4 linked regions of the Ovis aries genome follow. The protein of the gene in region 1 interacts with the protein of each later gene in a pairwise test. Links are inferred from orthologs where the notes say so. Each region holds a gene or a part of one and is shown in the gene's direction. Other genes may lie near its edges.

The links.
Region 2: the proteins of SMAD1 (region 1) and PSMB4 interact in binary tests that used the Homo sapiens proteins (3 or more experiments, as listed by UniProt). The link is inferred for Ovis aries from reciprocal best matches to the Homo sapiens genes SMAD1 and PSMB4.
Region 3: the proteins of SMAD1 (region 1) and PIAS4 interact in a two-hybrid assay, tested with the Homo sapiens proteins (2 studies listed by BioGRID and IntAct). The link is inferred for Ovis aries from reciprocal best matches to the Homo sapiens genes SMAD1 and PIAS4.
Region 4: the proteins of SMAD1 (region 1) and LEMD3 interact in binary tests that used the Homo sapiens proteins (3 or more experiments, as listed by UniProt). The link is inferred for Ovis aries from reciprocal best matches to the Homo sapiens genes SMAD1 and LEMD3.

Annotation. Positions count from the first base shown.
Region 1 is NC_056070.1:12,801,221-12,806,116, reverse strand, and holds the end of SMAD1 (mothers against decapentaplegic homolog 1), read left to right. Parts: intron 1-2,233; coding exon 2,234-2,377; 3' UTR 2,378-3,591; downstream 3,592-4,896. UniProt on the Homo sapiens protein: Transcriptional modulator that plays a role in various cellular processes, including embryonic development, cell differentiation, and tissue homeostasis.
Region 2 is NC_056054.1:101,334,474-101,339,941, forward strand, and holds PSMB4 (proteasome subunit beta type-4), read left to right. Parts: upstream 1-2,110; 5' UTR 2,111-2,134; coding exon 2,135-2,274; intron 2,275-2,518; coding exon 2,519-2,725; intron 2,726-2,947; coding exon 2,948-3,094; intron 3,095-3,260; coding exon 3,261-3,342; intron 3,343-3,704; coding exon 3,705-3,821; intron 3,822-4,019; coding exon 4,020-4,108; intron 4,109-4,292; coding exon 4,293-4,305; 3' UTR 4,306-4,416; downstream 4,417-5,468. UniProt on the Homo sapiens protein: Non-catalytic component of the 20S core proteasome complex involved in the proteolytic degradation of most intracellular proteins. This complex plays numerous essential roles within the cell by associating with different regulatory particles.
Region 3 is NC_056058.1:17,801,567-17,807,274, reverse strand, and holds the start of PIAS4 (E3 SUMO-protein ligase PIAS4), read left to right. Parts: upstream 1-2,128; 5' UTR 2,129-2,153; coding exon 2,154-2,180; intron 2,181-5,708.
Region 4 is NC_056056.1:154,710,720-154,715,254, reverse strand, and holds the end of LEMD3 (inner nuclear membrane protein Man1), read left to right. Parts: intron 1-479; coding exon 480-585; intron 586-685; coding exon 686-764; intron 765-982; coding exon 983-1,146; 3' UTR 1,147-3,185; downstream 3,186-4,535.

The DNA of each region.
Region 1 (4,896 bases):
CACCAGGGAAGTCCCTAATTTTTGACTTAGCATTTTGACTAAAGTGAATTTTAAAATTAGGACGGTGACTTGCCAGCATTGTTTGTGTTTATTGTTTTTATTGATAGGGAGGAAATATAATAAATAAAACATGAAGATCCATGTTCTTATTCTGTCATGTGATTAAGGCCCAGAGATTCCTTCCTGATCCCCTGTTCATTATCTTTAAAATGGGTGGCTGTAGGTAGGGAACTGGGGTCCCTTATTATTATCAAAGGACCACTCTAGGAGAATTTATGACTGTAATGCTCCAATTGGCTTTCTTCTCAAACTTATCTCTTATTGATTACCCAATCAATGTTAATGATTTTACTTTTACAGGTTTTTAATTACTTACTTTTACATAAGTGAAAACCACCTTTACACTAATAAAAAGTATTTATAATCAAAGATAGGCATTAAAAATAGATTAGCATTTCATTCACTCAGCAAACATTTTTTAGCACCATTCCAAAATAGCAATACAAAGATGATAAAACACCTAAAGTCTCTAGCTTCAAGATTCTGATGGCTCAGCCTATGTTTAATTATAATATAAATTGATATTGGAATGAAGGGTTATACAAGCTATAAAGGACAAGGCTGAGAAGCTAGATTTGGACAGTTAAACATTTTAACCTCTTGCTGACATGATAAAGGGCAGCTACTTACTACATGAGCCACAAAAAATGTGATCACTGTACAGCCTTGTTCTTTATTAGCATAAGCACTACATACTCTTCCCTCAGCATCTTAGAGAAAGGATGGAAAACATTTCAATAATATTAATAGCTGATTTTGTACTACTTAGTGAAAATGATCGATTTTGGACTTTAAACATGTATTTTATAAATTATTTGCACAGTAGACTCCCCATATGTGAAAATTCTAAGTCATTTCGGCTCAACAAGCATCTTCTGCTTTGTGCCAATCACTCTGCTAGATGTTTGAGAAAAAAAAATTAGTGAGATCTGGTCTCTACCTTCAAAGAACTTACTGTCTAGTGCAGAAACATGCACTTAAACCTTCCCATTAAAGTTAGCAGCATGTTGATACATTTACAGATGCATGGATGTTTATACCTGTGCGGTTCATATATTTCAAGTTTCTTCTGAAAGTTCTGATATTCAGATACATTACTTGAAATTCCTGAGATAGATAAAGAGAACCCAGCCTTCTCTGACATCTCTCAGGAAACAAGGGTTTATCAGTATCTCATATGCCTTCATCCACCACACCCGTAAGGATTTGATGTTTGCAATAGCAAAATTATTTTTCTCTTTTTCATAGGGACTTCTTCTGTCAACTGTCATGTCCTAATTCAGTAATCCTGAAGGTCTCTGGCAAGCTACCCTCTTTTACAAATGATCCAAGTCACTGGTTAGGTGTTCCTAATAGATTTTTGGATACTTACGTGCTCCTTCCAGATTTGCTTAGAGATCAAAAGGTCAGGAGCTCTGTGTTAGCAAGGGCTGAATAGGGAGAAACAGAATGTCAGTTTGTCTTACATACCTTTTTTTCTTATTTTCTTGATGATAAGAGAAGAGTTTAACAATACCTGTCATCATAGTATGGGGACATAATGGACAGTGAAAATGAAAGTTACAAAGTGGCTATTACAACAGCCTTATAATGTAGTTTGGGCTTCTGTGGTGGCTCAGACCGTAGAGAATCTGTCTGCAGTACAAGAGCCATGGGGTCAGTCCCCTGCTTGGAAAAATTCCCTGGAGAAGGGAATGGCAATCCACTCCAGTATTCTTACCTGGAGAATTCCATGGACAGAAGTGCCTGGCGGACTGCAATCCTTGGGATCACGAAGAGTCGGACACTTAATAATGTAGTTTAAAATTTTCATTCCCTGAGACTTATTCTCTTTATTTATTTATTTTTTTAAAAATTTTTTTGGCCATACTGCATAACATGCGGGATCATAAGTTTCCCAGCCAGGGATCCAGCCCGAGCCCCCTGCAGTGGAAATACGGAGTGTTAGCCACTGGACCACCAGGGAGGTCCCCTAAGACCAGTACTTCTTAATCTGGAATCCACATATGGCCTTTGGGGAGCTATGAAATTGTCTGCCAAATCATGCATACACATTTGTATTGTGAAGAGAACCGTATCTTTAATGGGAGTGTCTGGTTGTGTGAGCTGTTTTTACTCCGTAAGTTGAACCCCTGAGTCAAGCAGGTTAAATGACTCCCACTCTTGTTTCCAGGGCTGGGGAGCAGAATACCACCGCCAGGATGTTACCAGCACCCCCTGCTGGATCGAGATCCATCTGCACGGCCCCCTCCAGTGGCTGGATAAAGTCCTTACCCAGATGGGCTCACCTCATAACCCCATTTCATCTGTGTCTTAAACGCCTCAGGCTTCTGCCTCTGGAACACTATTGAGCCTTGCATGTACTTGAAGGATGGATGAGTCAGACAACCATCTGAACTGACAAAGGAGCCTTGACAATACTTGACCTCTGTGACCAACTGTCGGATTCAGAAATTGAAAAACCGGGGTAACATACTGTTGATATCAAGAACCTGTTTCGTTTACATTGTAACATTGGATTGTAAAATCAACTAAAATGCATACTTTTTAGCAGGACTTTGTGTATAGTTAAAGGAGAGAAGGCCAAGCCAGGGACAAATCACCTATTGGAAAAACGATCCTAAGAGAGTCTTTTGTGTTTGGCACTTTAAGGTCATCGTTTGGCAGAAGTTAAGCATTAATAGTCTTTCTGACGTGTGTTTTTATCAGGTTTAGAGCCTGCGTGGAGTCTTCTCTTCGTGGGTTTTCATAATATTTTAAAACTATTCGTTTAGTAAAGGTTTTTGTTTGTTTTTTAAGTAAAGGTTAATCTTGGTGATATACATAGTAATCTTTCTAAAATTGTATGCTGACCATAATGCTGTCAGAATAATGTTAGACATACGCTCTTTGCTAAATATATATGTACAGAATATTTGAAAGTTAAGAATTGATTAGACTAGTGGGTTTAGGAGTATTGAAGGGGGGGTGGGGGGAGAGGGAAAGGACAAATGTAGAATATACTGTAAAAATTCAGTTTGTTGCTTTAAAGAAACAAACTAATATCTGAATTTTGCTGTGTTTCAGTTTTTTAGAGATTTTATCCTTTTTTTTTTTTGCATCTGCTATCTCATCCTCTCCAAAAATAAAAAGTTATGCAGCTGGTTAATTCATATAACTGTGAGAGCAAATGAATAATTCCTTCTGTTCTGAAATTGACAGCCTGTGTATTTCAGTACCACAGTTGAATGGAGTTGCTTGAATTTAATAAGGAGTTTTTATGGAGTTTACAATACAGAAATAGGCTTTAATTTTCAAGTGAATTATTTGCCAAACCTAGTAACTCTGTTAAATATTTGGAGGATTTAAAGAACATCTCTGTTTAAACCAATTTCAAACTTTAAAAAAAATTTTTTTGTACTGTGTTTGGTTTTATTTTTCTTCTGCTAATCTTTTATATTCACTTACGCTCTCATACATTGAGTACTTTTATTCCAAAACTAGTGGGTTTTCTCTACTGGAAATTTTAAATAAACATGTCATTATTGCTTACTTTGATTAAAAGTTGTTTCCTTTCTTCACACGTAAGATGTTAGGATTCATAAAATTCACTGCTTTCTTGAGAGATTTTTCTCAAATATTCTTTGCCAAACATAACTAAATGACTAAAAAACGAAATTGCAGAGGCAGGGAGACTTAATCATGAAAAGAGCAGTACGTGTCTACTCAGTCACTAAATCAGGTCTGACTCTCTGCGACCCCAGGGACTACAGAGGATCCCGCCAGGCTCCTCCGTCCATGGGATCCTCCAGGCGAGAACACTGGAGTCAGTTGCCATCTCCTGCTTCAGGGGATCTTCCCAACCCAGGAATGGAACCCCAGTCTCCCGGGTCTCCTGCGTTGTCAGGCAGAATCTTAACCATTGCGCCACTTCAGTTCAGTTCAGTTCAGTCACTCAGTCGTGTCCGACTCTTTGTGACCCCATGAATCGCAGCACACCAGGCCTCCCTGTCCATCGAAAACTCCCGGAGTTCACTCAGAGTCGCGTCCATTGAGTCAGTGATGCCATCCAGCCATCTCATCGTTGGTTGTCCCCTTCTCCTCCTGCCACCAATCCCTCCCAGCATCAAAGTCTTCTCCAATGAGTCAACTCTTCGCATGAGGTGGCCAGAGTACTGGAGTTTCAGCTTTAGCATCATTCCTTCCAAAGAAATCCCTGGGTTGATCTCCTTTAGAATGGACTAGTTGTATCTCCTTGCTTCGCCAACACCACAGTTCAAACGCATCAATTCTTTGGCGCTCAGCCTTTTCACAGTCCAACTCTCACATCCATACATGACTACTGGAAAAACCATAGCCTTGACTAGACGGACCTTAGTCGGCAAAGTAATGTCTCTGCTTTTGAATATGCTATCTAGGCTGGTCAACACTTTTCTTCCAAGGAGTAAGCGTCTTTTAATTTCATGGCTGCAATCACCATTTGCAGTGATTTTGGAGCCCAAAAAAAGAAAGTCTGACACTGTTTCCACTGTCTCCCCATCTATTTCCCATGAAGTGATGGGACCAGATGCCAAGATCTTCGTTTTCTGAATGTTGAGCTTTAAGCCAACTTTTTCACTCTCCTCTTTTACTTTCATCAAGAGGCTTTTTAGTTCCTCTTCACTTTCTGCCATAAGGGTAGTGTCATCTGCATATCTGAAGTTATTGATATTTCTCCCAGCAATCTTGATTCTAGCTAGTGTTTCTTCCAGTCCAGCGTTTCTCATGATGTACTCTGCATAGAAGTTAAATAATCGGGGTGACAATATACAGCCTTGACGTACTCCTTTTCCTATTTGGAACCAGTCTGTTGTTCCA
Region 2 (5,468 bases), on another chromosome or scaffold:
GCCATTTCCAAACAAGGATATAGTCAGTTAATTGATGGCTAAATTGCTTTAAAGTTCATGTGATGAGGGCTCTCCTAGCTATGAAAGTCAAGGATTCTAGCAGTTTTGGAGGAATCCCAGTAAGCCTTTTGTTATCACCTGCTATGTGTCTAAGTAAGCTTCTGAGAGGCCCAAGAATCACCTGGAATATGGGGGTTGGGAGAGGATGGCTATTAATTAGAAGGAAAAAATAGACTACCTGGTTTTCAAGTCTAAAAATTGACACAAAGAGCATCAGTTGGGTGCTTATTTAATTTATATGCAGAGTACATCATGAGAAACGCTGGACTGGAAGAAACACAAGCTGGAATCAAGATTGCCGGGAGAAATATCAATAACCTCAGATATGCAGATGACACCACCCTTATGGCAGAAAGTGAAGAGGAACTCAAAAGTCTCTAGATGAAAGTGAAAGAGGAGAGTGAAAAAGTTGGCTTAAAGCTCAACATTCAGAAAACGAAGATCATGGCATCTGGTCCCATCACTTCATGGGAAATAGATGGGGAAACAGTGGAAACAGCGTCAGACTTCATTTTGGGGGGCTCCAAAATCACTGGAGATGGTGACTGCAGCCATGAAATTAAAAGACACTTTCTCCTTGGAAGAAAAGTTATGACCAACCTAGATAGCATATTCAAAACCAGAGACATTACTTTGCCGACTAAGGTCCGTCTAGTCAAGGCTACGGTTTTTCCTGTGGTCATGTATGGATGTGAGAGTTGGACTGTGAAGAAGGCTGAGCACCGAAGAATTGATGCTTTTGAACTGTGGTGTTGAAGACTCTTGAGAGTCCCTTGGACTGCAAGGAGATCCAACCAGTCCATTCTGAAGGAGATCAGCCCTGGGATTTCTTTGGAAGGAATGATGCTAAAGCTGAAACTCCAGTTCTTTGGCCACCTCATGAGAAGAGTTGAGTCATTGGCAAAGACTCTGATGCTGGGAGGGATTGGGGGCAGGAGAAGGGGACGACAGAGGATGAGATGGCTGGATGGCATCACTGACTCGATGGACCTGAGTCTGAGTGAACTCTGGGAGTTGGTGATGGACAGGGAGGCCGGACAGGGAGGCCTGACGTGCTGCGATTCACGGGGTCGCAAAGAGTCGGACAGGACTGAGCGACTGAACTGAACTGAACTGAACTGAATGCAAGATCTTGACCCTTCCCTTTCCAGGGTTTCAAGACCTAATGAAATAACTTCATTTCAATTAAGCTAAAATTTCATGCATTGCTTTAGTTCAAATTAACTCAGGGAATTTAAAAAACAAAACTGCTTTGGTTTCCTGCTGAGTAAAAAATTTTGCATCTAGTTGTGAAGGGAGGAGTGGCAAAGGAGTAGTTTTAGGATTATTGTTTGATTCTAGACACTGCTTTCAGGCACTGCTACAGAATCACACTGAGATGGGAACGCTTGGAATTTAGTTACACTCCCACAGTCGACCGAATTTTTCTGCTAAGAGGTAGGCAAGAGCATCTGACAATCAGAAAACTTTCACAGATTTGTCCAAGGTCCTACAGAGTGAGTGATGCACCTGACAGAGCACATATCCCAAGGTACTCGCAACTGTTTGATTCCTTTTTTAAATTCTGAGTTTGAAAACTCAGACCTACCATTACTTGCTCTGTGAACGGGTTAATCGCTACACAAGTCTCGGTTTCTTATCTGTAAAATGGGTCTAATATGCCACATGAGGCTGCTTTGAGAAATACAAATTTAACAGACCCTGAGTTCACTGTTAGTTTCGTACGGGGTTTTCTTTTCCAATCTAGAAAGAGAGCTGCTTCCTCGCGCAGCGTCAGCGTCTTGAAGTGCCCCACCCCCGCCCCATATCCATCTCCCACACCACCCACCCCTTCCTTGAATTCGTGTGTCTGAACACAGTTCTAGTCCAGACTCTTCCGCGTTGTGACACGAGGTCACGCAATTCCAGTTCTCAGGGTCTCGATCGCTGCCCGGGACACAGGTACGGTCGGCCCCGACCTCATCAACATGGCTGCTGGAAGTGGCTTGTAGGAAGAAGAAAGGTGCGGCACTGCAGGATCACTTCCGCTTCCGTTGGTGCAAAAGCTTTCACTTCTCGTGCTACCGTGACTAAGATGGAAGCACTGCTGGAGTCGCGGTCCGGACTTTGGGCCGGGGGTCCGGTCCCCGGGCAGTTTTACCGCATTCCGTCCACTCCAGGTTCCTCTGTGGACCCGGCGTCCGCGCTGTACGGGGCTCCGATTACGCGCACCCAGTAAGCTCTTGGCGCCTTAGCCTGCGCAGGGGGAGGGACAGTGGGGCCTGGTGCCTCCCGCCGGTTCTGGGAGCCGGGGAAGTCGAGGCGAAGACCCGGGGCGCGCGACAGCGGGGGAGCTCAGGGAGGAAGGTCTCGGAGAATGAAAGGAGCCGTGGAAAGTCAGAAACGGAGCCCGCAGCTCCGGAAGCCGGCTCGTGCTTTTCGCCGCGCCGCCCCTCAGCAGACCTCCCTCTCTCTCTAGGAACCCCATGGTGACCGGGACCTCTGTCCTGGGGCTCAAGTTTGAGGGCGGAGTGGTGATCGCAGCAGACATGCTGGGCTCCTATGGCTCCTTGGCTCGTTTCCGCAACATCTCTCGCATTATGCGAGTCAACAACAGCACCATGCTGGGTGCTTCCGGAGACTATGCTGATTTCCAGTATTTGAAGCAGGTTCTCGGGCAAATGGTGTAAGTCATCTAGAGAGTAGAAGTAGTTGCCAAGTGGGGAGGGGAACCCACAGTTTTTTAATCCCTTCAAAAATTTCTGCGGGTAGAGAACAGGGAGACTTGCTGGGGGTGAAAGATGTGAGAAGTTTTGCAAATAGTTTATTTCAGTGGGTTTAAATGGGGAAGATTGTGGTAACGTCTTTTCGGGGTGGATGGAAATCCTGACTTCTGTTCTTTTATAAGGATTGATGAGGAGCTGTTGGGAGACGGACACAGCTATAGTCCTAAAGCTATTCATTCATGGCTGACCAGGGCCATGTACAGTCGCCGCTCCAAGATGAACCCCCTGTGGAACACCATGGTCATTGGAGGTTATGCTGATGGAGACAGGTTGATTTTAATACAAATAACTTAATTTCCTTGACCACCCAACCTCTAGTGCCTGTTTAGTGTCTGTCTCTCCCCCCTGAGTGAATCCCACTTCTGCCTCAGACCCTATAGTCCCATTCTTCAGCTAAGATACAGAAACCTAAGATGACCTATTGTGTCTTTTTAGCTTCCTGGGTTATGTGGACATGCTTGGTGTGGCCTATGAAGCCCCTTCGCTGGCCACTGGTTACGGTGCATACTTGGCTCAGGTAAGTAGTCAGTTGAGGGGTAGAAGACAGAAGGTAAGATTAGTGGCTGTCTGTTTTACCCTTTAAATTCGGGCATGAGAAACAGACTATGTTCCCTACTGCTGGGTTTATTTTTGGTCTAGAGGCTGTAATGACAAGGTGGGGTATGTCTTGGAGTGAGTCAGTATATGTATGCAAAGTGAGGACACCCATGAATTTCCCCTTCAAGTGGGTCTTAGCACAAGTAAGCAGAATTCATTCTGCTGAGGCAGTAAGTAGAATGTCAGCTTTTCACTTATGATTCTCTTTACATCATGGATTTGCAACAGATCATCTGGTATTCAGCCCATGGTATCTCCTGTTTTTTCCTCCCATCTCCTTAGCCTCTGCTGCGAGAAGTTCTGGAGAAGCAGCCAGTGCTGAGCCAGATGGAGGCCCGAGAACTAGTGGAACGCTGCATGCGAGTGCTGTACTATCGAGATGCCCGTTCTTATAACCGGGTGAGAAGTGTGAATAGTAAATGGGGATCTAATTGGCAGGCTGTGCAACTCCTGAGTCTCTATATGTTGAAGAACAGGCCATTTCTGTGTCTATTTTTCACATTTCAGAAAAACCCTCCATTTGACCTTTGACCAGGCCTGAGGCGTCTTTGATGACAGGGTTGGTATTTTCATTGAGAGCTCTGCTTTTTTTTTCAGTTTCAAATTGCCACTGTAACTGAAAAAGGTGTTGAAATAGAGGGACCCCTGTCTGCGGAGACCAACTGGGATATTGCCCACATGATCAGGTGACTGACATTAAAATTACAGTGGAATAATAGTTGGGAGATCCTGGTTGTAGTAAGGTTGGTTTTTCTGGAGGTCTCAACCAAAAATTCTCTGGGTGGCAAGGGTTTGGGTTGAAGATAGAGCTACTTTTGGGAATTGATTTCTCACTCTATGGCTTCATGATTTTATCATCTCTTTTTTTAGTGGCTTTGAATGAAATACAGATGTGTCATCCAGAACTGAAGTTGTACCCTTCTTCTAACTTTGAACTTGGTTGGTTCAAAGGTACTATTCTTTTTGTAAAATAAATAAATCCTTTGAAATGCTGGCTGAGTGGTTGTATCATTTGACTAAGTCACACCAAGAATGAAACTGCTAAGTACTGCTATATGCCATCTCCCTGCATAGTCAGAGAACTCTGGTTCTTGTAGCACATATAGACTTCTCTGCATAATACAGAAGCTCCACTACTGTCTTCATTTGGGTCTCTACTGAAGGCTGCTTTCTGTAAAAGTCAGACTTGATCTTTGTGTGATAATTAGCTTTTGTGTTTAACATTTTTCTTCAACATTCTCACCCATGCACTAGACTCTGAAATAGACTTTCTGGTTAATGTTGACTGCATATGGAATTTGTTAAAACATCATTTCAAAGATGGAAATGTAACATCTAGTCGACCTGTAGATTACTCCCAAACCTGAAGTAATAGCCTTAATCCTGCACCCATCCAACGTCCTCACCCTTCATGGGGAAACCTAATTTTGACATATAACCTAAATGTTTATTTCCAAATCTACTACTGATTTCTAGCACTGTAAGATCAGAGAAGGCAATGGCACCCCACTCCAGTACTCTTGCCTGGAAAATCCCATGGACAGAGGAGCCTGGTAGGCTGCAGTCCATGGGGTCACTAAGAGTCAGACACGACTGAGTGACTTCACTTTCATGCATTGGAGAAGGAAATGGCAACCCACTCCAGTGTTCTTGCCTGGAGAATCCCAGGGATGTGGGAGCCTGGTGGGCGCGGTCTATGGGGTCACGGAGTCGGACACGACTGAAGTGACTTAGCAGCAGCACTGTAAGACCTCTTAGAATATTGTGTTCACTTAGAAGTCCTGTAGTTGTGAGTCAAATCAGTTGGGAGTTATTAGCCAGTTCTTTTGCCAGGATGGTGTTAAACTTGAATTTTAAAAAACATCCTGGGTAATACTGATGGTGTAGTATCTTTTCTAAACCTCTTTTTGAGAAACTAGTATAGGCAGGAAACCCCAAAACTACTACAGGCATACCTTGTTTTTATGCTTTGCAGATACTGCAGTGTGTTTTACAAATGGAAGGTCTCTGGCTACTCTGCATTGAGTAAGTTTAGGTGTAATTTTT
Region 3 (5,708 bases), on another chromosome or scaffold:
CCGTCTGAGCCAACATAGCCATAATACCATTATCAGATCTTCAACTGTTCTTGATGGCTGCAAGAATCTTATCATGTTATCAAAGTTCTTAAAACTATACATTACCACCACAAAAGGTGGTGGTGGTTTAGTTGCTAAATCATGTCCAACTCTTGGACCCCATGGACTGTTGCCTGCCAGGCTACTCTGTCCATGGGATTCTCCAGGCAAGAATACCAGAGTGGGTTGCCATTTCCTTCTCCAGGGAATCTTCCCAACCCAGGGATTGAACCCAGGTGTTCTCCATTGCAGGCAGATTCTCTACTGACTGAGCTATCAGGGAACTTACCATCAAAGGGAAAGTGCATAAAAAACTTGGTGAAATCCAAGTATTTGTACTTGAATTGACTGTGTGGTATCAACATCAATTTCCTGGTTTTGACAACACACTGTGGTTGGTTATGTAAGATATTATCATTGGGAGAAGCTAGATGAAGGGTGCCTAAGGGTCAAGGGTGCCAGTTGTGCACCTTTTCTTTTTTTAATGGCTTTATTTATTTAAAATTTATTTGATATGGATCATTTTTGAAGTTTTTACTGAATTTGTTACAACATTCTTTCTATGTTTTGTTTCCTCCCCGCCCCTACCAAGGATCAAACTCATCCCCCTGCATTGGAAGGCAAAGTCTTATCTACTGGACCCCTAGGGAAGTTCTCACACCCTTAAAAAAAAAAAAAGAAAGTAACTGTAAGAAAAGTAAAACAAAACCCTGCTGAGTTACAGTTCTGGTGAGGCGAGGGAAGTCACTTATACAAAGTTGTATAACCTCTTATAGCATATTAAAAAGCAGAGACATTACTTTGCCAACAAAGGTCCGTCTAGTCAAGGCTATGGTTTTTCCTGTGGTCATGTATGGATGTCAGAGTTGGACTGTGAAGAAAGCTGAGCGCCGAAGAATTGATGCTTTTGAACTGTGGTGCTGGAGAAGACTCTTGAGAGTCCCTTGGAATGCAAGGCGATCCAACCAGTCTATTCTAAAGGAGATCAGTCCTGGGTGTTCTTTGGAAGGAGTGATGCTAAAGCTGAAACTCCAGTAGTTTGGCCACCTCATGCGAAGAGTTGACTCATTGGAAAAGACCCTGATGCTGGGAGGGATTGGGGGCAGGAGGAAAAGGGGACGACAGAGAGTTGGTGATGGACAGGGAGGCCTGGCGTGCTGCGATTCATAGGGTCGCAAAGAGTCAGACACGACTGAGGGCTGAACTGATACTCTCTTAAATTTTATTATTTTCTTCATCATGGCTATTTCTGCATTTTTATATAAAAATTAGTAACTTGATAACTGAGTCATTTGGCGCGCTTCATTTTCTCAAGGGATGGGCCCCGAAATACGTTTTTATCCTCTTGCTTTCTTTGACACAAGAAAGTTTGGGCTTAGCAGCTCACCGACACTGGGGAGCCACGGAGAGCTCTAAAGCTGGTAAATTTCCGATTAGCGCAAATTCCAAAGGTTTACCGTGGGTGGAGAGGCGGAAGTGGGCGGGAGGGTGGTCACCTGCACCGCGGGAATTGGGTAGGGGGTACAGCATTTCTCCGCCGGCGGCGCACCAAGGGGGTGTGGCGCCCTCGCCCTCTCAGCCACCCCAGGACCCGGATGTACAGCGCGTGGGGCTCCCGGCCCGCTGAGAATGAACCGCGCTGCGCTCCACGGCGCCTCACTGCACGCAGTGGCGGCCGCTGCGCGGGCCAACCATTTTCTCCCTCCTGGCAGCGAGGCGTCCGGTCACGCACCTGGAGGCTGCCTCGCGCAGGAGACCGCGACACCTGGCTGCATTGTTGTCGCCTCAACTGTCTACTCTCTCGTCAGACAGGACCCAGTATCCGCCCCAACCTGTGCCGGCCTTGTACCCCTTTAAGAAACCAGACACGGCCAGGGGTGGGCGTGGTCACAGTGAGTGAAACGGGGAGGGTGGGTGCGTAGTCGGGCAGCCCTGATTGGCCGGAGGCCCGGGCGGTGCCGCGCGCGCTTGCGCAGTGCGCGGTCGCGCGCGCCAGAGGGGAGGAGGGCGCGAGGGTGATAATTGGCCGCGGCGCGGGCCCCGCCCGCGAATGGAAGGCGATCACGTGACGCGACGGCTGGGGGCTCCCGGCGCGGGGGACGCTGGTGGCCAAGATGGCGGCGGAACTGGTGGAGGCCAAAGTGAGTGAGCGGCGGCGGCGCCGGCCAGGGCGGGCGGGGGACGGGGGTCGGGCGGCAGCCCGAGGTCTGTGCCTTCCGCTCGGGGCCCCACGGCGCGGCCCGCCTGCGGCTCGGCGTCCTGCCCCCTCGCCCGTCCCTGGCCTGGGGGCTCCGGTTGCGGGCGGGGCGCGGGAGGCCGGGGGCGGGGCCCCCAAAACCTCACCCCAGTCTCCGAGCAGGGGGTTCGGCCCCCCCAGGCGTGAGGTTGGGTCCTCCCCTCTCCAACCCTAGCGACTAGGGTCCAGATCGCGCTGAACGCAGGCACAGGGCCGCGCCTCCAGCTTGAGGCACATTCCCCCCGGACAGCGTGACGGGTTGGGCTGCTCGTCCCTTCCTCGAGGTCGGCGCTCTTTGGCTTGGGGGAGTGTCCGCCTCTCACCGCTTCCCATGGTATAGTGGGCTGGCATCTGGGTCTCAAGTCTCCTCGCCCAGCTGATCAGGCTGCGCTTGGCGGCTCTCTGCTCGGAAGGGTCCTCTGAGTTTTCTGCCACGGGTGATGAGCTGGGGATCCTGAACCGCCCCCAAACACAGGGTGTCTCTTGAGGGTCTGTACCCCAGGCTGGGGTTTAGAGCCCTTATTCAGCTCCCGCTCTGGTCCCAGAGCCCCGCCCCCTCCTGACACCCTTCTCACCCCGGAGTGAGCGCGGTGTTAACTGAGCTTGCCTTCCTGAGCTTGCCTTCCCGGTGTGATGGAGCCTTGGTCCTGGTGTCAGCTCCTTCCTAACTCTTTTCTCTCAGTCACAGGTCCTGGGTTTTGCGTTCCTTCTCACTCTTTCTCCTCCCGACAGCATTTGTGCAGCTGTGAACTCTGCTCCTGGGAGCCCTAGACTCCACACTCGGAGGATCAGACCCCGTTTCCAACCCCAGCTGCTTCCCTTATACTCAGGCCATCACGAGTCTACTGCTCAGACCACACTCCGCACACAGCCTCTCTTTAGATCTGTTTAGACAGCCCAGCTCTGGCGTCTGAGGCCCTGCTCTTTCTGCGGGTCTCTTACGTTGATCCTTGGAATGTCCCCAGTTGATTGCAAGGTTCTTTAAAATGGTTCCTAGTCTGTCTCCCCTGCATTGCTGTCTGGGGTCCACATTCTACATCCCAAGGATGTTACTCCTTCTAGCTTGAGGCCCCTTTTAACCGTCTTGGCACTAAGCTGGGTGCATCTCTCTCCCAGGGAAGTATCTACTGTCAGAGGCCCCTGTGAGGTGAGGCTCCAGAACCCTTGCCCCTGACTAGGCTAGGTTCTTGCCTGAGAAGTTTACTCAAGGCCGCTCATCTTTCGGAGGTGGGGAAGGGACCTAGCAAGACAGGCCCCGCCCCCTCCCCCGCTGATCTTTCCTCCCAGGGGTCCTGACCTGTAAATGTTTTCTCTCTCTCGCTCCTCCCTCTCCCTCCGTCTCCCTTTGCTTCCCACGGGGATCTGAAATACAGCCCTCATGGTTCTGTGATTATCCAGTATTACTCTCCCTTCACCCCTGAGTGCCCTCCACCTATACCTGCATCACACATGCGGCCACCGCTCTGTTTTGAGAAATTGAGAGTTGCCCTAGAGATGCAGGGGTCCGAACCCTGCCAGCCCAAGGTGGCATCCTATGGCCTGAAGTCCCCTGGAGCCCTGAAATTTAACTTCCTCAGGGCACTGTGGGCCTGTGGCTCTAGATGCAGGCCTGCCACTCCAGCCAGAGAGTAGGGTCTGAACTATTATACCATCTAGGGCCTTGAAATATGATCTGATGAACTCTACTTGACCCTTCCATGACTGGGGCCCCCTCCCCAATTAGATCAGATTGATCCTTTATCAAGTTCTCTAAACCATGAGCCTCTGTCCTAGGGGGTCTCAGAACTGCCACCCAGCCTTCTCTGATCCTCTGGAACCTTCCTGCTTCTTCAGCACCTTGCTGTCCCCATGGAGTGCTTTACATGTCATTGAAATAACCCCCTCTTTGAGACACTTTCTTAAACCTTTCATAGTGATAACCAGAGACTTATCTTTTGGGATGGATGCAAAATGGGCTGATCTGAGAGGAGAGCAAGGGGGACTTATTCATACACTTGGAAATCTGAGACTCTTCACCTGAGGCCCCTGAGAGGGGTTGCGGGGAAGGGTTGGACTGGGCACTCCCCTAGAGGGTGTGTAGCCATATGCGCTGAGTTCTGAGTTCCTGCAGTGAGGAGCCCCTGTTCAGTTGAGTGTGACTGTTGTATCCAGGCCGCTGTTTCTCCATGCGGCTCCTGAGGGGCCCAGAACTGAGGCTCTGGAAGCTGTTGTGGGCCTGGCGCTGTTTATAAACACAGATCTGAGGGGCAGGCGGGTCAAGATAAAGCCAGGCAGGAAGTGATCTGTGTAGTGCTTGGGGCTTCTTCCTGAATGTTTGCGCCCCGCTCATTCCGCTCCCCCCACCTCCGCCCAGTGTCAAGGGCAGGCTCCTGGGTAGTGGCAGCTGCTGAGAAATCCGAGTCCTGAACATATGGCAGCTCAAGAGGTGTGCCCCAGGCTGCGCGTGCACAGGCGGCTTCCGGATGTCCCCAACCTGGTGGAAGGGGCAGGTGGGGGCAGGGGCTTCCTAGGGCGGGGTGCCCTGTCGTGGTCAGACTCTTAAAGGCCAGGCCCACCTGCTTCAGGCTCAATGGCTGGTGGTCAGCTCTTCCACATGATTTCGCTTCTCCCCTTGAGTGCCTTGGGCCTCTTCCAGAAGAAACATCTTGTCTGCAAGCCTTTCTCCTCTGTTCAAGGTAGAAAGTCAGGCTGAGGGAGGCAAAGCCTCTTTGTTTGCAGAGTTTTCTGACTCTGTGGGGGCCTGCAGACCACTGGGTCCCCCACCCAGGGGGCATGCTGGGGAGTGAGGGGCTTCTCGGAGCTGGAGGTAGACAGCCTCAGGAGTCCAGATACCGCCAACTCTGCTGTGGACACATGGAGAGGCCTGGCACCAGCTGCTTCCCTCTTGGAGCCTCAGTTTTCTCACCTGTATAGTGGGCGCCAATCTCGGTGAGATTAATGAGTGCAAAGGCCAGCGAGCTTGGCATGGGTTTGCATGCCCCCTCTGCAGCATGGGAGGAGGAAGAAGATCCTGCAGCAGCAAAAGGCTCCCCCTTCAAGGCTTTGCAGGCAGGACTGGGCCCCCCTCACAATTTTGAGGCTGACAGGGACCCAGGCTCCCCTGGGAACCTGGGGCAGAGCTTGCACTTGAGCCTCAGGCTCCTGAGTCCTGGGGCCATCACATGGCACATCTTACTCTTTGATACCCAGGAAGCACCAGTGCCTTCTGGCTTTGAGGCCACTGCTGTAAACAGCCTGGCAGGGGTCCTGCCCACCTCAGACCGCAGACTTTTTCTAGTTGATTTTAAGTGATTTCTTGATTTCTTCAGCTGCTGTCCTGCCCTGGGCTCGCAGCTTTCCACATCCACACTTGTTGCCTGTACTTTTTCTTTTTTTCATTCCCCCTGGAAGTTTCTCTTTCCCACCACATTTCATTTATCACAGGCCAGCTTCA
Region 4 (4,535 bases), on another chromosome or scaffold:
CTGATCCTTCTTGCTATGGTAGGCTGATCCTTCAGTGCCTCAGCTTGTACATTCTTACACCGGAAAGTGAGAACATAGCTGGGACTTCTGAATGCCAACATTTTTAAAATCTACCTACTGCTAGTAACAAGCATTTATATACTGTTAGTTTTTTACAATATATGGTTTTTAAGCTGTCCTAATTCTAGTTAGGTATATGGTGATGCTAGTGGTAAAGAACCCACCTGCCAATGCAGGAGACATAAGAGACACCGGTTCAATCCCTGGGTCAGAAAGATCCCCTGGAGGAGGGCATGGCAACCCACTCCAGTATTCTTGCCTGGAGAATCCCATGGACAGAGGAGCCTGCCAGGCTACGGTCCATGGGGTTGCAGAGTCAGACACAACTGAAGCAACTTAGTATGCACTCATTGAAGAGACAGAAAACTGCTTTCTGAGTAGGAATGTGGCTGTTGATTTTTTTTTCATTAATTTTTTAGGGAAATAGGGGATCAGTGGCATTTGGCAATTCAAGAAGCAATTTTAGAAAAATGCAGTGATAACGATGGCATTGTTCACATTGCAGTAGACAAGAACTCTCGTGAGGTAAAGTAGCTTTCACTATTGAATTCTTCATGTTGAATTATTGCTATTAAACTAAGACTCTTTCTTTCTTCCTTTTTGTTTTCTTTTTAAAATATTCCAGGGTTGTGTATATGTTAAATGTCTGTCTCCAGAATATGCTGGGAAAGCTTTTAAGGCATTGCATGGCTCTTGGTTTGATGGTAAGAAACTTGAATACTACAAACATTTTGAAAAGATAAATTATGGCTTACTGTTAAATTCTACCAGATTTTAAATGAAAGAATCTTAGGTTATCATTTATAGAATAATAATTTTAGATTATTTTTTGTGTGTTCATTTGTCTTTTACCACAGTTTGATTTCTATTAATATTAAGCACATTCACACAGATCTAAAATGTTATTTTTATCTTACAACAGGGAAATTGGTTACAGTAAAATATTTACGACTAGATAGATATCACCATCGCTTTCCCCAGGCTCTTACTTGCAACACTCCCTTGAAGCCATCAAATAAACACATGAACTCTATGTCTCATCTTCGTCTTCGGACTGGCCTAGGCAATTCTCAAGGAGGTTCCTGAAAAGACTTTCTTCCACTCCTAAGACTGTTCTTTACAGTAGGAAAATTCCTGTTTGGCTTCCTGTCTCCCTTTTTAAATGCTTTTTGTATGTAATATTTTTATTGAATACAGCTCTATTTGAACGTTCCAGAAATCTTAAGGTTCCAAAGGGACTTAGCAGTGAGGCAGCAATGCTGAGTAGATAGAGTAATTGTTTTGTTCAGTTTTTGGAGTTCAGTTAAGCCAATGCACTTAAAAGTTTTGCATGAGGAACATTGACCTTATTAAGCATTTTCAGATGTGATGGTTGTATTTTTGCACCAAGAAGTGTTTGAATAACCACACAAAAGCATGGGGAAAAGGCTTCTTGTTTTTCCATAATTTCCTGTAAACTGATATTGTGAATTTTTGTATACAGTCACCTAAATAGTTCCTTACAGGCTAATGTGGTAAAACTATTAATTTCCCAATTTAACCTTAGGTTTCTATTGCTTGTAAGAGATTCATTTGCTACAGCTGGAATATGGGAAAATCAATTCGGGTTTAGTGGTTACATAAACGTGTAAGTGGATGTACATGTACTTAAACTGGCTTTTGTATATATGTATAAATGCTGGTGACAGCCAAAGTAGTCTGTTTTGTGAGGATGTCTGCATTAAAGCAGTAAAATAAGCTTCCTATTTTATTCATAATCTAATGTGTGTATATATATGTATGTGTATATATGTGTGTATGTATATATATATGTGTGTATGTGTATATGTGTATATATACACACACATATATACATATGGCTGTACTATCATACAGATCAAACAGCCAAACACCTGGAAGTATTAGATACAAGTTTAAAATAACTTTTATAGGTTTTATATAAAAATGTCTGAGTATGATTTTGTGTGAAAGTTCCAATATCAGTTGTAATAGATTCAAATTTATGTGAGCAATAAAAAAGCAATTGGCAGATATTGGGAAAATATTTTGTGAAAAGCTGTATTTATTATAAATACTAGGGCTATGACATAGTACCGCTGGAATTAAATCATTTTCCCAATCTATTTATAATTTAATGAAATGTTAGCTTCCCTGTTCTATGTCAAGTTTAAAACAGGGCACATTGTCGCAGCAAAATGTGTATTTGAAAAATTCCGTTCGCAATTTTGGGTTATGAAAGTTCGCAGTATATTAAATGCACGAGTGATGGTCACTTTGTGCCTGGGTATTTACTTTGTTTCAGTAAAGTTACTTTATTATGGTTTATGATTTCAGATTAAAATAGTTAACGGAGTAAAGTTTACTTGTAATGTAGCAATTGGCTTTTTAAAAATAACCTGTTGATATATCATTGTCAGTCCAAATGAATATGTGAAAAAGCTGAAATTGTACCAATTTTGATTTTGTTTAAAGCTCAGTTTTCTTTTATTTAAAATTGTATATGTGTTAGGTTTGCAGCATGAACTTGCACAGTTAATGCACGTTTCCTGGTTAAGTAAACATGATGCACACTGTTCTGTAACAGAAAACCTTATTGTGCCTTACCTGTGTGCTTTTGTGGGCACCATGTTTATGAAGAATAAAAAATGATTTGTTATCTGAAGAGAATAAATTTTAAATTCTCAGTTTATGTCTCAGATGCTAACATGTGAAAATATAAATATATATATAATATATATAATAACCAATCTTTCTGTATTTTATGTGCATCACAGTGATTTATCTGAGCTTAGTGACCCCATCTTGTGACCTGTTACAAGAGTGAATGTAAAAAAATAGTTGTGGCATTTTAAGAGGTCGCCTTTTGATGCATATGCATCTTTTTCTTGCTTCTAAAACATATTCCATGTAAGCATTGTACACTTACTACTGTAATATATACTATTATGCAGCTTATTTTACCTGAAACTGTTAAGCCGACCAAGATCCCTCCCTGCAAGACAGATGGGAATGTGTATAATAACTAGATATTTGAGAAGTTCTGAAGTTTGATGTAATCTGTTACTTGTCCTGTTTAAAAAAAGGAAAAAAATTCTAATTAAAAATTTATTAGGTTTTTTTTTTAATGTGTCTTGGCTTTAAAAAAAAAAAACTTTTTAAGTGCTCTGTGTCTTTATTTTATTATATTTTTTTAACCAGTGAAAGTAGATCCCTGTATTTTTAAACATTTTGGGTATTTGTAAATATACATATGCTATAAAAGTAGATGAAAGTTAATTTTAACTTTCACCCATAAAGTTAATTTTCTTTATAAAAATGTCTTTGTCTAACTGTCAAAGTGTTTGGCTCAAAGTGGGGCAAGAATATAGGTCAGATAGCGTTGCTTAGTTTAGCTAAACATTTTTTCATAGCAAGGCTTGCTCAAAAAAGGAAGCCATTCTTTCACACATTCTGGCTCAAACGCCTTATCATAAACAAACAGTCTGTGGTCTTGCTACTTTGAGTAGCATTGGTTTAGATTTTTAGATGGTTTAATCAAGTAAAAAGAAGATTTGACTTAGTTGGTAGGATTTTATTGATTGCTAACAAATGTCAGGCACTGTTATTTGTTAGGAGTGCAAAGATGAAAAAGACATGACACAATCGTCAAGATGGTCACAATCTAGAGAAAGAATATAGACAGCTTACTTAAAAGGTACTGTTGAAAATATAGTGAGTGAAGAAAGCAGAATAACTTCTGGGAGTATAGTGAGGTACCTTATGTATCTTGGTAGCTGGAAAAGATACCAGGACAGATGAAGTATTAATAACATTAGACACTTTTGAATTAGTATAGATACAGTGATATGTCTCTTTTCCCCTGAGCTCTCAGGGAAGCTTCTGTTCTTGTGATGAGCTCATAAAAATTAATGTGTGGAACCTGAGTTACTACAAAATCCATTTTCATGCTCATTAGTGTGCAGATTCTTGAATATCCTGTGAATATTGAAGCCTCTTATTGAACTTTGTTATATTTTGTGTGCTATTCGCTGTTTGGATGACAAGTTGTAATTTCCAAGTGAACAATGTCTTGAAGTATCATATGCCCAGAACATTTCCTTTAATCATATTGACCTTACAATTTTCATTCCTTGCTCCTGGTGACATTACATTACTATAGGTCACCTACATGGTGGCTTCACCCTTTTTCCCTAGACTTATATCATCAAGTCACTTCTTCAGATGACTCAACAAAGAATGTAAATCAAGCAGACTTTTGGCAGCCACTCTTGAAAAGGGTGTTCAAGAACAGGTATTTGATTGAAAATTAGAAACCATTAGTTGTGGTCTAAAGAAACTGCCCATAATGCTCATTGTGCTGGTCTAGTGAGCATGACTAGCTACTCCCTTTAAGTCTCACTGGAGAAACTTTATGACTAGAAATACATCCTGACTGTAGATTTCTATACCTAAGAATCTCTGCTTGGGGCAGCAGG